Neurospora crassa OR74A: one gene and its partner. The protein of the gene in region 1 purifies or fractionates together with the protein of each later gene. This does not show direct contact. Links are inferred from orthologs where the notes say so. Each region holds a gene or a part of one and is shown on either strand. Other genes may lie near its edges.

Evidence for each region. The genes of interacting proteins can lie anywhere in the genome.
Region 2: the proteins of NCU04806 (region 1) and NCU06542 purify together in Saccharomyces cerevisiae (affinity purification with mass spectrometry; 3 studies listed by BioGRID). This does not show direct contact. The link is inferred for Neurospora crassa OR74A from reciprocal best matches to the Saccharomyces cerevisiae genes RSM7 and MRPS12.

Annotation. Positions count from the first base shown.
Region 1 is NC_026506.1:887,727-891,800, forward strand, and holds NCU04806 (hypothetical protein), read left to right. Parts: upstream 1-1,314; 5' UTR 1,315-1,696; coding exon 1,697-2,170; intron 2,171-2,284; coding exon 2,285-2,740; 3' UTR 2,741-3,574; downstream 3,575-4,074.
Region 2 is NC_026504.1:1,584,359-1,587,403, reverse strand, and holds NCU06542 (putative mitochondrial 37S ribosomal protein MRPS12), read left to right. Parts: upstream 1-1,407; 5' UTR 1,408-1,550; coding exon 1,551-1,706; intron 1,707-1,861; coding exon 1,862-2,155; intron 2,156-2,289; coding exon 2,290-2,364; 3' UTR 2,365-2,545; downstream 2,546-3,045. Other genes in the region: NCU06543 (acyl-CoA dehydrogenase), read right to left, coding at 1-25, 125-216; NCU06541 (alpha-1,2 mannosyltransferase KTR1), read right to left, coding at 3,008-3,045. UniProt on the Saccharomyces cerevisiae protein: Component of the mitochondrial ribosome (mitoribosome), a dedicated translation machinery responsible for the synthesis of mitochondrial genome-encoded proteins, including at least some of the essential transmembrane subunits of the mitochondrial respiratory chain.

The DNA of each region.
Region 1 (4,074 bases):
TTAGTCAACGAACGCTTCGGGACGGAGGGGTAATACAAGACACGGAGCCGAGGCCGGGGGGCCGGGGTCGGGACCGCACCACATACCAAACCAATAGCTGAATGGTTACTCTCGCATGGGCGGACTGTAGATACGGCGCGGGGGCCCGAAGAAGAAAACGGAATATTCGTTGGTCAACCACAAACACAACAAATTTACGACGAAATTTTTACCGAATGGACGGATGACCGCCTGCCTATCCGCGGCTGGCCAGTTCTTACACTAGATCGTTACTCAACGTCAAAGTACTTTGCTTCTTCAGAGGTTTACTACAGGCTTCCAGGTCCACAGAAACCGCACTTTGCCGTAAGGGGGTGTAGTGTAGAATAGTAAAATATGGTGTAAATCACCAGTCACCACCCATCATGCACCGCACAACAGGGATACCGTTAGTGGGTACCTTGGATATGTAGATGTAAGTAAACTCGATGCGGCTTCTTGCCTTGACTGAAGGTGGTGGACATGTTGATATTGAACACCCCATCGAGAGTGAGGCGGCAAGTCATGACAGGGACAAAGCTAGGTACCTAGTCAAGACAAGGCGAGCCACATATAAACAAGCAGAGCGTACAGAGTGTGAAATAACATTGTGTTCGATGCCCCTAGTAGAGAAGTCAATTTGCTAGTTTATCTACATACTGTCCTTCCTAGGTGTCCCGAACTTAACCGCATCTACACTAATGACGATCTGACTTGCCATGTCCAGCTTGTCTTGACCGACGGATCCGATTATGCTGCTGTTGAGAGACATTTGAGGCGGTCTAGTCTAGCACCTCTTTTGGCAGGAAACGAGCCTCGGACTCGTAACCAGTGAGGACCCTTGTCTTGATGGCTTCAGTTGTACATAGTGTAGTGTAGATTCTTTGAAAGTGCATGTTGGTGGAGGAGGTGGTGGGTTACCTCTACCCTCCCTGGGCCCATCACCAGGATCAGCCGATCAGGATCAGGAACCAGATCGGCTGCAGTTGGAGATCGCGGCCTGTGGGTTGGTGGATATCAAGGTACCATGTTGACCTTGTCCAAACTAAACTCCCCAAACAGGGAGGATTGGATGGAAGGATGGAAGGATACAAGATGACGACGACTGACGGCCAGGTAGGGGACCAGGTTGGGTGATCAACGAACGCCGCCGCGTGGGGGGGGCCCACGTCCGAGTTGCCGGATGGAGTTCGGTTGTTGATCAGGGGAGCTGGGGAGGGGGGGTGGCTTTTTAAGGTTATGGTCTGTGCGTTCCCTCTTTTTTATTTTTCTTTTGGCGGGGGGTTTGAGCCGCAGCGGCGCACCAACGTCGTCCTCGGGAAAACTCCGGAAAGGCGAACGGCTCCAAAAAATTGTTCCTGAAGTCCCGCTCTCCGGGGCTCCACTCGATGCCACTGCCGCCGGCCAAACATTGCAGAGTCCGCCGAGATCACGAGTGTTCGAGTCCCTCCCCCCGGCTGCTTCGCGGGTTCGTTGCGTGCGCGTAGTAGTGTCTGTCCGCCCCGTGTTTGAGTGGTGTTTCCCAAGCCGGCCCGCCCTCCGTCCGCCGCCTTCGTTCTGCCCCCCCGCGCCGTGTGTGTGTACCCCCACCGTCGTCGTCGTCGCAAGCCGATTAGCCAGCAAACTCAACCACCACCATCACCACTACCGAACACCCGCATCACCACCACAAACAAAGATGCCTGCGAGGTTGGGTCTCAGTGCCGCCTTCCGGTCCCTGTCCATCCGGACAAACCAATTGCCTCAGCAGCAATCGATTGCCGCCGCCGTGCAGGCGCGCACCCTCATCACAGATTCCACCACCTCGTCGAGGCTACCACCCAGAGTCCAAATCCAGCAGCAACAACAACAAAGGACACAACCATACTCGACCGAGACCACCCCTCCTCCCAACAGCAACAATGGTGACCTTGCCGGCATTGAAGGCCAACCACCAGTAGAGGTCACCCCCGAGAACGCTGCCGCCCTGTCCCAGTTGTCGGAGATCGCATACGGTGTCAAGGCGGCCGACGTCGCGATCGAGGGCCACAAGTACGGTCTGCCTACGCTGCCGCTGCCGTCGGAGCTGCACCACAAGTACCGCTACTCGGAGGTCGTCAACCACGCTACCAAGCTACTCATGAAGGATGGAAAGCTGAGCAAGGCGCAGAGGGTACGACGGTCCCTCCCCCATATGCCCATTACTCCCACTTTACCTACGGCACCTCTGCTCAAACTACTTTGCGATCACAAAGCTAACACACTATCCTTTTTCTTAACATAACAGGACATGGCCATGATCCTAAACTACCTCCGCTCCTCGCCCCCTCCCAAACTCAACCCCTCGCGCCCTCTGATCCCCGGCCACCCTCCGGCCTCGCACCTGCCGCTCAACCCGGTCGAGTACCTCACGGTCGCCATTGACTCGGTAGCGCCCCTGATCAAGATGCGCGGCTACAAGGGTCTGGCCGGTGGTGGTCGCTCTCTCGAAGTGCCGCAGCCCATCCCGGCGCGCCAGCGCCGCTCCACGGCCTTCAAGTGGATTCTGGATGTGGTCAACAAGAAGCCGAGCAAGGGATCCGGTCGCACCATGTTTGCGCACCGCGTGGCTGAGGAGATTGTGGCTGTCGTCGAGGGCAGGAGCTCGGTCTGGGATAAGCGGATGTTGATTCACAAGCTGGGCACGGCCAACAGAGCCAATCTGAACTCGCCGGCGCTGCAGTTGAAGGGCAAGAGGTTCTGAGGTTGATTGGTTGATTGATTGATTGATGGACACCCTGTTAAGCCAACAACATAGCGAAGCCAAGCAATCTCTGACCGACAGCCTTTTTCTTGTGTATACTAGTTTTTTGTGTGTGTATGGATATGTATGCTCCTACTTTGCTGCTGCTGCTGCTGCTGCTGCTGCTGCCGCCTCTGTGATGGAGCGAAAAAGCCGGTGAAAGGTTTTGGGCTCATTGTGAAGCCGGGTGTCTTGTCTTAGCTTGTTTGGTTACGGTTCTGGCGAGGTTGATGGTGGCCAATGACCCTTGACTGACCATATTCTTGGATTTAGAGGTAATGGACACAAACATACTACGCACAACCTATAGCTACAATGTGGTTTAAAAAAAGGTCAGCAGTGGATCTCAGCCTGGAGTGATCCGGCTAAGATATCGACACACGGGCTGTACAATTTGTATACGAGTTTCTACAGGATTCTGAATACCACGGCTTGTTACATGACGAGGATTGTTTGCTGTCTTGTCAGATGACTTTTATCACGAGCATCGCAGGAGGTCGAATAACTTGGGGTTTCGAATGGAGTTGTAGCAAGAGAGCCGTCAACAGGAGTGATCCTTGTTGCGAGTAATCTTTTTTGAGGTGTGCTCAGGAGCAGCATCGATAGTCATAAGGAAGTAAGAGGAAAGAACTTGATATTCATAACCAGTAGATGATAACTGAAAACCGACCACGTCAATTGAGTTTGTCGGTCACAGAAAGTGGGCTCTAATCACGCTCAGGACGATGCAGTGTGACAAGCAAAGACTAGGTACCCAAACATCCATCACATGCGCAATTACGTCTCCTAGATCACGACCACTTCGACTTATCATTTTACTCTTGTTTTTTCCCTATGTCATCGCAACACATTACATACTTATAGACGCAATTTGAGGTTGTGGCTGAAAAGAGAATCATCAAACAACTGTCGCTGTCTCGTGTGGGGCCAACGGCGGCGCAGCGCGTGGTCTGGTGGATCAAGAAATGCCGAGCATGGGATTCGGTTATTACCCTGACTCAGCTCGGGCAAGCAATGTTGGAACTCTTCTAGCTCGGTCAAAAATGTTCCATTGGAGCTCTTGAACGCAAAGTCCAGGTCCCCTTTCCAACGCCTGAACCTGGGGGCGGGTGCAGAGATCTTGGCGGGAGGCAAATAATCAACCTTAAATTTAAAGGGTACTTACTTCATCCACTTACATGATTGTTCATGTTCTTTGCAACATTACCCAGTTGAGTGGCAGCCCATGCGAAGCGGCGTTGGCTGATTACTCACTTCTACTTACTTGATATCTGCAACTTTCACCAACTCGGTCG
Region 2 (3,045 bases), on another chromosome or scaffold:
GGAGGTGGTGGAAAGAGTGCGAGCGCTATGTCGGGAAACCAAGTATTAGCACATCGCCTTCTCCCTCTTCCAGCCCATCTCTTTTGAGACCAGACCAGGCATGAGACGAGATGACAAAACTTACCATTGGACGACGGGAGTTCTGGAGAGTCTGGGAGCGGAAACTGCCTGAGCCCTGCGGACGGCGGGACGCAAAACCCTAGTGAACGACTTCATTGTGTCTGATGCGTATGTGTGATGATTAAAGAACCGATCGGAAACCTGGCGCGAGTGCTGTCTAGGAAGAACGAAGAGGACAGAGATAATGGAAGAAAAGAAGGCGGAAAGGGTATCAAATGCTTGGGGAAGGAGAACTGGAGGTGTGATGGAACGAGCTTCGGGTACTTATAAGTCGCTGGGCACGGTACAGCGGAGCTAACACTAACGACCAGATGAAAGATGTACTTATGTAGCTCCGTAACGATGATCCGTGGAGTATTGGATGGAAGGCAACAATGACAGCGTGGGCTCAAAATAAGGTGAAGAGAGTCCCGATTTCTCTTGACCTTTGCATCGTATGCATCTCCTACACCTTCGATGTGTCTAACCTGTCACTATGCATTTGATATACAGAACAGATCATTATCGCAGAAGCCCACGCGGTATTCGAGGAGATAGGTGCGTACACCTTGATAGCAGGATACCTACGGGCAACCGGGACAAGAGCTCTACTGTTAGCTCTCTCTATCCCTCTCTCTCTCAGTAATTCAAAAGCCAAGCCAGCGGGTAACAAAGGTCAATGGCATTGGCCGGCACACGGCCGATATGCTGTGAACAGCTGGGTCAAGTGTCTCCCCCTCTGCCGAGGTAAGGTCTCCACCATTCACAAAGCTCCGAATCGGGCGGTCCTCTTAAGAGGTCATTTTCCCCACAAAGATTTCCTTGGCCGGGGTAAACGGTGGCCACGACAGGGATGCATTTGGGGGAGACACGGTAGAGACGGGACATCGGAGGAGGGGCACTCTCTCTCGAATGGACCTTGATGATGGCCGGGCACGGGGCACGGCGAGCGGTGACCATTGTTGCTAGACCGTGGATCGTGACTCGTTAATCGCGAATAGCAAACCATGGATCGTGAGCGAGAAGGGAAAACAGAGCCAGACGAGCGATAGAAATGGAATGATGAGGTGCCAACGAACGAGTTTCAGAAAACGAAGGGGAATGGAAAACAAATGCCATGTGACTGTCAGTTTGTCGAAGGCTCACAGCTAACCGATGATTGCCGCACACGACTCGGAGCTTACCCAATGGCTTCCGTCCCTCAAGCACGGCAGTAGGTACGTACCTCTGCTACCTTCTTGGCTCAGCTTATCTCCACGTGTGTCATCCCGTGACACGAAAAAAGTTCCCACACTGGTACCGCCCGCCGCCGCCGGCCCTGCGTGCGCCTGCCGGGCCCGGCCTGGGGAACCGCTATCCTGTACTGTACCGCGTCCTGTTGCGCGCCGCGACCGACCGAACTTGACGATTTCGGAGCATCCCGCCATCAGCAAGATCCACAAGATCACAAGATGGCGACGACTTTCTTGCGGAACTTGTTTTCGCAGGCGCAGCCGTCGCTGCTACGACGGCCGCTGATGCCATCGTCCTCTTCCATCCTTCCTGCTGCTGCGCGGTTGTTCTCCAGCACTCCGGCGCAGAATGCCACTCTTAACCAGGTCATGAGGGTAAGTGATGATGATGAGGCTATCCCCAACCCGCCTACCTCTACCTACCTATGCACCTATCACCACTTTGGTTCCCGTGCTACTACCACAGCCCTATGTCCCGCGTCCAATTCAATCTGATCAAAAGCTAACCACTCTTATCTTCATTCCTCCAGGGTTGCCGTAAGCCCCAACGTGCTCGCCACGCCGTCTCCCCCGCCCTGTCCTCCATCAAGTCTCCCGCGCTCAAGGGTGTATGTGTCAAAGTCGGCATCACGCGTCCCAAGAAGCCCAATTCGGGCGAACGCAAGACTGCCCGTGTCCGTCTTTCCACGGGTAAGGTCATCACGGCCTATATCCCCGGCGAGGGCCACAACATTTCGCAGCACAGCGTCGTGCTCGTGCGTGGCGGCAGAGCCCAGGATTGCCCTGGTGTGAGGTATCATCTTGTTAGAGGTGCTTTGGATTTGGTAAGTTTTTTCCTGAGAAGAAAAATCCCTAGATGGAGACCCCTGGATGGAGGATGGGAGAGAAGGAGAAAAAGGGGAAGATGAGTGTTTAGTTTGTGAAAATGATGTGCTGACAAAGAATGGTGATAAAACAGGCCGGTGTTGCTACTCGTATGTCTAGTCGTAGCAAGTACGGTACCAAGAAGCCCAAGAAGGCCTCTGTTGGTTAAGCAGCTAGCACAACAGAGCACAATTGAGATGATACCCCCCCTGGTTACATGGCAGTAGGATGATGATGATGTGATGTGAGCGTGGTGGAGGTGGTTAAGCTTCATCCATGTAGTTCATCATTCCGCATCCTAAACTATGTGTCCGTGTACTATAAGGAAATAAAAGGTGCATGACAGGATATCGGCGTCCATATTCCTTGTATTACGACTGTCGAAGACTGGCCATGTTCAAGATGATACAACACCGAAGACGAAATACTTCGGGGAAGGACGGAGACACTGGACCAACTGTGTTGCTGTCAGCTTGCCTTTTCACACCTGGCAATACCAGGGTTATCTCAGCAGTCGGTAACAACGAACCTAACCCTAAGTGATTGTGTCATGATTTCCTTAACGCCCCTTATAGCCCTTCCCTATCCATCAAAACACTCAGAACAGGCAGCTTCGTTTTTGCCCAACCTTTCCCATTTATAGGTCCATGTTTCCAGGCAATTGGGTTGTACCACCAATTGAGAACGAAAAAGTCATTATAACGATAATACATTCTAGGGAATGTCCGCTTTTGGTTTTATTTGCAGACCTGTTTTCCCAACATAAAGCCTTAATCCCCACACCCTCAGAACTGTTTCTTCTTCGCCTCCTTCTAATCCGACTGATCTTGCCAGCCTTCTGGCTTCGGAA